Arabidopsis thaliana: one gene and its partner. The protein of the gene in region 2 interacts with the protein of the main gene of each other region in a pairwise test. Each region holds a gene or a part of one and is shown on either strand. Other genes may lie near its edges.

The links.
Region 1: the proteins of VIP4 (region 2) and AT3G07170 interact in a two-hybrid assay, tested with the Arabidopsis thaliana proteins (one large-scale study listed by BioGRID).

The regions. Positions count from the first base shown.
Region 1 is NC_003074.8:2,278,412-2,282,333, reverse strand, and holds the start of AT3G07170 (Sterile alpha motif (SAM) domain-containing protein), read right to left. Parts: upstream 2,141-3,922; 5' UTR 1,907-2,140; coding exon 1,794-1,906; intron 1,787-1,793; exon of another isoform or gene 1,621-1,786; coding exon of another isoform or gene 1,562-1,620; intron 1,274-1,561; coding exon 1,212-1,273; intron 1,114-1,211; coding exon 860-1,113; intron 687-859; coding exon 612-686; intron 524-611; coding exon 461-523; exon of another isoform or gene 282-460; coding exon 237-281; 3' UTR 1-236. Other genes in the region: GSL10 (glucan synthase-like 10), read left to right, coding at 2,951-3,149, 3,252-3,349, 3,637-3,791, 3,920-3,922.
Region 2 is NC_003076.8:24,605,487-24,609,408, reverse strand, and holds the start of VIP4 (leo1-like family protein), read left to right. Parts: upstream 1-1,683; 5' UTR 1,684-1,880; coding exon 1,881-1,997; intron 1,998-2,260; coding exon 2,261-2,592; intron 2,593-2,761; coding exon 2,762-2,891; intron 2,892-3,014; coding exon 3,015-3,215; intron 3,216-3,537; coding exon 3,538-3,714; intron 3,715-3,922. Other genes in the region: AACT1 (anthocyanin 5-aromatic acyltransferase 1), read right to left, coding at 1-628. UniProt on the Arabidopsis thaliana protein: Component of the PAF1 complex (PAF1C) which is involved in histone modifications such as methylation on histone H3 'Lys-4' (H3K4me3). Involved in regulation of flowering time. Required for the expression of the flowering repressor and MADS box gene FLC.

The DNA of each region.
Region 1 (3,922 bases), on a different chromosome or scaffold from region 2:
ACTTTTCGTTGTTGTGTTTATCTTAAGGCTTCTCTCACATCAAAAGTGGTGCAATCAAACAGTGTATGTTTCACCATGTTTACGATTACAGATGTCTAACCAAATTCTAAGCTCTTAAAATGGGCAAAATACAATCAAGAGAAAAAGAGCCAATTCATTTCTGACAATTCTTAATGTAACAACTCCAGAGACCATTCACCTGAGCTTCCAACCATCAGGTAGATGGCACTAAGCTCTTAGGGTTTAGATCCCAAAGCAAGAAGTATCTTCTTCCTCGGACCCTGCAACGAAAACATAGCTTGTGAAAAGAGAGCGTAATAATGTTGAACGAAGAGAGTGGATGTAGTTTTTCGCGTTACAACAGATCAAACAAAACTGAGAAATTGAAATTCATTCAAAATCTGCAAGATATGATAAGAGTGATACTAGATGTTGTGTGGCAACTCAACATGAAGCTTACCATCGGTATGAGCATAGCCTTGAGGTCATCATCTGTCATATGCATGAGAGCATCCATATCAACCTGTGAATGACCGAAAAGGATAGGAACGTTATATATGCATCATCCATAACATAACATAAATTTCAACCTAATAGAAGATATTACATACTTCTTCCACTTGAAACGCTGTTGAATATTTCTCGAGACCCAATGATTCAAGAAAGCTATCAACCGATGAATCAGCCTGAACCAGAAGATGACAAGCAAAGAAACATTAGTGGATGGCCTGTATACAAGGGAAGAGACATCGTAAGCTATGTGTCTAACTACATTTTCGCACCGGTCAGAAGAATGGTTTCTCCCAAGCAATAAAGTACTGATGGAAAAATATAGTTGAAGAAAAGTGAATCATATTGCCTGCTGTGATTTCTTCCTGGTAGCTTGACTGGAAGTTTTTCTAGTCTCTGTTTCAGTCGCTACGCTCTTCATACTTGGCCTAGCAGCCTCCGCTTTGGATTTTGGTGGGTCACTGTTTTTTGGTTGCTGATTCATTGTCCCAGAGAGCTGATCCCGTAAATCCCGCACGCCTGAACCAGCTTCTCGCCCACTTTGAGACCCATGATGTCTCTTTTGGAGCTTCAAACGAAGATCTCTAGGATCAACCCTGCGATCTAAATAAGCCATCCGATAGAGAATCAACAACCAAACAGAAATACTTTTGTCATACTTAATTTTCTACTGAAAGAATAGATGAGGGGGAAAAACATACTTGAAAGTTGAGGTTTGTCACTACTGAAAAGATCATGCTCCCATTTGTCGTCCTGCCTTTGCCTGAAAGCATGAGGAAGGAGAAACTTGAGATAAACTGATATGTAATTAACAATGAAGACTACATAACGAGAGGAATATAAACCATTCCCCAACGCAAAAGCAAAAAAAGTTCATCACCCAAAAGATTCAATTAAATTGCCTTAAAACCCTAATCAAATCACCAACCATCAACAAAAACATCATCAGATAGATCACATCTCCAGATTTAACTATGCAGGTAGGCACTCAAACTAGAGAAGCTCATAAAGCTGATCTAATTGACAATGCAGTGAAGTTGATTGAAATTACCAATTCAAAATGGGCAAATCAGAGAGTCCTAGTAAGCTAACAAAAAGAGCGGATTCCATACTCTAATTCATAGAGCGAAGCAAGAATCAAACTTGGGGATGCTACAAGGAAGATTATACACAAGAGGAAAAGACTCTAACACCAAGTACCAGCTAACATACTGAAGAATTTTCGAGGAAAGCAAGATATATCTCAATAGAATTATGACGGAGAGAGGGAGATAGATAAGAACCTCTTCCCAGTCACTTGTCGCACGCGAGTAGAGATGTCTCCAGAACCGCCATTGATACGATCCTTAACGACCTTCCTGCTTCCAGACTCAGCCTCCAATTTATCAGCATACATCTTTATCCCCTTGGATGAAAAATACAGAAATTTGTCCTAACCCTAAATTAGGAAAACTCACAAACTAAAAAGTTGTGTGGACTATTAGCAGCTCTCAGGTTAGAGATGCAAATAGAAATCCTAGAATCTACCCAGAAATCACAGAGACGGAAGAGAAGCTCTAGAACAGAAACAATCCATTAATGTAGAAAACTGCGGATTTTGCTCACGATGCCTTTGGCTTCACCAGGATCTACGTTGCGAGAGAGTATTCGGGAAATTAACATCCAATCAAAGTAACGGGTCGGGTCGGGTCGAGAATCAGGATTATGCGTTCAGAACAAAAAAAACGATAACCGGTTTGACTGTTAACCAGAGTTAATCCGGCGATTCAAAAGACGTTTCGGTTCGATTTTTCTTTGACAACGCGGCTAAGCTTTTCATTTCTTTTTTTTTGTTTTGTCAACACGCGGTTAAATTTTTGTTTGTCAGATTCATTTTTTTTCTTGATAAAAAACATCCAGATTCCTTTCTTTGTAATGTTTTAGATTAAAATAAACAAAAAATCCCTAAAAAACGAAAAAGTTTTGAAACTTAGAAAGACGGACATAAGCGAGCTAGCTTCTAAGCTTTCTTCGCTAAATTCTTGGCTAATTCTCTTCTATGACTGATCCAATTCTGCTTCGACTCCATATCTGAGGTTTCTGACGTCTGATTAGGTAACTCCCGCTTTTGTTTTTTTTGGGGGGTTTTATCCATTTTTAATGTCTTTGTTGTCTACTTGTTTCAATCGTATGAACTTGAGACGCGAGAAGCTCAGATTCAGGATCCCTAAATTTTTCTCTATTTTTTTTTTTAGTTTTGTTTCGTTGATTACAACTAGTCCTAGGTTAAAGAACAACGTTTACAACTTATTTTGCTTTTTTCAGTTGTGCCTAGGTCACTTGTCCGAATCTGTATAATTCACGTGTATCTTCCTGGATTTGATTACATTTCATTTACTTAGTGTTGGGTTTTACGTTAGTTTAAGCTGCTGAGTACTTTGATGTTTTTTGTTTGTAGAAAATGTCTCGAGCTGAGTCATCTTGGGAGAGGCTGGTGAATGCTGCTTTACGGAGAGATAGAACAGGAGGAGTTGCTGGTGGTAATCAAAGCAGTATTGTTGGTTATGTCCCTTCCTCACTATCCAACAATAGGGACATCGATGCAATTCTTAGAGCTGCCGATGAGATTCAGGATGAGGATCCCAACATTGCAAGAATCTGTAAGCTCTTCTTACTTGGGTTTTGTTCCTTAGCGGGTTTAGCTTTTCTTTTCTCTGTGCAATGACACTGTTGTGATCTTCTTGACAATTGTTTTACTGCAGTATGTGAGCATGGTTACTCACTTGCACAAAATCTCGATCCTAATAGTGAAGGCAGAGGTGTTTTACAGTTCAAAACTGGATTGATGTCTGTTATTAAGGTATTTTTCTCTTATGTATGTTAGATACAGTCATCCATATGTTTGTTACCGACCACTTCATTGAATATGTTATTTATGCCATTGGAAGCTGCATGAATCCTGTGATGTCGTTGATATATATAATAGATGATCAATGTGTGGCAGATACTTTTGAATTCCGAATCTGTTTTTCGGAAACTGAAATGCGTTGCTTGTAAATTATACGATCAGCTTCATTGAATTTTATTTATGTGATTTTTGCCCATGGTTTTGCATTCAAATGCTTTGTTATCACTTGTTAATTGTAGCAAAAATTAGCAAAAAGAGAGGTTGGGACCATAGACAGAAGTCAGGATATTCTTCGACTACAAGAATTTTACAGGCTATACAGAGAAAAGAACAATGTTGACACGTTGAAGGAGGAAGAGAAACAGCTCCGTGAGTCGGGGGCTTTCACTGACGAGTATGTATATAAACTATGCGCTTATTACTTTTCCCTTTGCACTTAATCTGTGAATTTTATGTTCTTGAACGCCAAACATAACTCAGATAGCTTAATTGTTGTCCATACGGTTTGATATTGGCTTCCAGGCT
Region 2 (3,922 bases):
TCTTTTGTTCAAGTCCGGCTGGAACATTGACGACAGAACGATCTAAAACCGTTGGTAGAATTTTCGGTATGGTGCCATGTTTACAAGTGTGAGCCCATGCTTTGTTAAATTTTTCAGCCGTTTTGCCGTCCAAGACGACATGGTGGGCTGTGGTTCCAATGCAGAAGCCTTGTTTCGGGAACAAAGTGACTTGCAGAGATACAACAGCCCCCGAGTCAGAATAAATCGGTAGCTCGGGTATTAGAGGGCGTAACTCTAGCTCTGGACGAAGCCCTCTGCCAGAGATACGTGAGAAATCCGCATCAGTCTCAGCCACTGTGAGAGAGAGTGTGTCTCCTGAGAGAACAACTAAATGCGGCTTTGGATCTTGTGAATCCCACTTAAGGTGACCCGTGAATAGGCGAAAGTGAGTGAGGATGAGTGAAAGAGATCGCTCGAGCTTGGGGAGGATGGAGGAGTAGAAAACGTCGCGAGATGATGATGATTCGGTGAGTTTGTAAAAGAAGACTTGCTCGGTAGGGTTGAGTTTAAGCCACTGTAAATCAAAGAACGAGAGTGGGACAATGAGCGGGTCGACGGAGGCGGTTGCAGGGCTGACTCGGGAGATCTTGATCACCTTTAACGCCATTTCTCACTTGTACTCTCGTCTTTTAGATAATATTCCTTTGTACGTATGAGTTTATTCAGCTGAGTATCAGATGGAGTTAACTCTTATACTAACATAACAAGCTACCGAGTCAGCCCTAGTCAAAAACGTTGGTTGGAAGCCAAGGCACGTAATTACCATTTGAATTATTTTGGTCCCTCCAGAGGCGGCCAGGCGGCTTAAGCCAACTGCGACTGCCAGATATCATAGATAAAAATTGTTATATATATATATATATATATATATATATAAAATATATAATTTTATTTTTGTGGTTTATATTTATTATTTTTGGTGGTAAAAACATTCTTAGAAGATAAATTTTTGTAGATAAAAGGCTGAAAAATAAATTTATGGAAAATATATAAATAAACATTTGTGAGCAAAATGTGTCTACATAAAATTGTAATTTTCTCGAGTTAAAAAAAAGCAAAAAGTGAAATTTCCAAAAGCCTTAAACTAGTTTGAGTAATTTAAAAGTGTCCATAGTTTTTTCTTTTTTCTTTTTATTCCATAATTTCTTGAGTTTTTCAGAAATTACTATAATTCTGTTTAAATTTTCAGGATTTCCTGAATATTCATGATGTTTAGTTGTCACTTAAGTTTTCATAGAACACAAGTCGGTTATGCTTTTACCTAATCTTTGTCTCTTGTTAATTTCTAAAGCAGATAAAATCTATAAACCAACAACAATGTTTTAGAAGAAGACATAACATTTATTTTGGCAACTCAAGTTATTTGATCAAAGAAGTTAATAATTAGTTTTTAAAATAAATTAAATATAAAAAAATAGGGGCCAAAAGAATCAGTTAAAAGGATGTTGTATCATTCATATACATAGGGGCCAAGGCAAACACAAGCTCACTATCACAAAGAAACTGGTATCCATAACCCAAAATTTGTGGGCCAAAAATATTGAATTCCAATCTCAAAAAAGCCCATAAAATCCCATCTTTTTTCCCTCTCTAGTCGTCGTTACACGTAAAAAAAATGATTTTTAATAATCCGGTAATGCGTTAAAAAAGATATATCGATGAAAATTTCCTTTTCTTTGTAAGTTGTAACAATTGTTTTTAATAATAATAATTCTGATGCCATAAAATCGCGAGGTAGAGATGAAAAAAAAATAGCTTCTTCAACAAAGGCCGATAACAGTGAACCCTTCGTCGGAGCTCAGATCACGAGCCGCCGTCACCAGCTAAGAGGCAGTGACTTTTGAGTAAGTGAGGCGAAGATGGTTAAAGGAGAAAAGAGATCCGAGATGATGCTTAATCTGTTCGGAGATAATTCCGAGGAAGAAGAGATCGAATCCGAACATGAATGCAATCGTCGTCAGCCTAACTACGCTTCCGTAACTCTCTCCATCTTTATCTCCTTCGTTTCGTCACTATTGATTGTTTCAGTTTTCGTATTTTTCACTGCCACTGTTCTTCAATTACACCTTGGAATACGAATGGTTTCTGGAGTTCTTCTCGCTTGAATTTAGGGTTTTAGGTTAATTGCAGGAACCAATGCAACTTATTAGGCCTAATTCAGCTTCAGTTCTTCTTAATATCAACTAGACTAAGATATCAGTGAAATTGTGGCTGAAATTTCCAATGTAAACACTGATAGGATGAGGCTGAGGGCGGGGTGGAGCCTGAAGGAGAAGGTGAAGCTGAGGTTGAAGTTCACGGAGAAGCTGAAGCTGAGTCTGACGGGGAACAGGGAGATGTAGAACTTGATCCTGGAGAAAGTGAGGGTGAGAGGGAGCAAAGTTCACAGGAGGCTGATCCACAAGAGGAAAGTGAAGCAAGAGATAGTGATAGTGATAACAAAGAAGAAGAACATGGGGGTAGAGTAGCCAAAAAGAGGAGACAGGAGGTTGTTGAGAGCGGATCAGAGAGGTCTGGTGAAAAGCATTATGAGTCTGAAGATGAAGAGGTTGATCAGACTAGGAGTCCAAGGTACCCCTTTTTCCATTCTTTTTTTTCCTAGCTGTTTCATAGCTTCTTTTTGATCTTTTCTGTGCTCTGGATTTAATAATACTTGCTAGTCCTCTGAGGTTCCTTGGATTTTCAAATTTCTTATGGATCACTTTGTCTTTTGTACATGGAAATATGGCGTGGTGGGTAGATCACCTAGTGAGGAGAAGGAAGAGGTTCAAGTTGCACAGTCAGACGTAAATATTCGTAATGTTTTCGGATCTTCGGATGATGAAGACGCAGAAGAATATGTTCGGAATGACGTTGAGCAGGATGAACATGTGAGTCTTGCATCTAATATTACATTTCAGTTTACAGAATATCTGTTTCCTTTCCAGTGTTTGCTTCCTTTTAGAAACCATATGAAATTGCATGTATGTATGATGAGATGTCTAATTTTGTAGAGATCGCCAATCGAAGATGAAGAGGGCTCTGAGAAGGATCTGAGACCCGATGATATGGTGCTTGATGATATAATCCCTGAAGAAGATCCTCAATACGAGTCAGAAGCTGAACATGTTGAAGCTAGGTACAGGGAGAGGCCAGTTGGTCCCCCTTTGGAAGTGGAGGTTCCTTTCCGCCCTCCTCCAGGTGACCCCGTTAAGGTATACCTGCTTTATGTTGCTAAAAGATTATTCGCTGACATGGCTTCAAATCAATAGTTTCCTTTCTGGTATTTCCAAGTTACCAAAATCTCTCATATCATTGTGGTTCGAAGAGTGAGTATCTGATGTCTTTTATGTGGAGAACCATTGCACTGAAACATGCTTCTACATTTACTTAGCATGAAGGGCCATTTGGTGTACATGAGCGTGCTATTCTGTTTTATATCTGAAACCCCATTTTCTAGTTGTCTATCTGTAGTGAAGATGTTCTGTAGCAAAATTGCGCTTCCTCATATACCGTTTTCTCTTTGATCTTTTTCAGATGAACATGATAAAAGTTTCCAATATCATGGGGATTGATCCAAAGCCTTTTGATGCCAAAACATTCGTTGAAGAAGACACATTCATGACAGATGAACCCGGAGCAAAGAATCGTATCCGTTTGGACAATAATATTGTTCGCCATAGGTTTGTTAAGAGTCGAGATGGCAAAACATATGTAAGTGAACACTTCTTCAAAGCTTTTCTGCTTTTAAATTTTCCATCAAACCTGCAATGAAGCTATGTAGTTTGCCTATTACTAGTACTTCTGATGCAATGATGTATTATAAGTACATACTTTTGATGCAATTTATGTATTCCGAATTAGTTTACTTTGTGCTTTTCACTACGGACATGTGTTCATATAGTTGGAGATGAAATTTTAT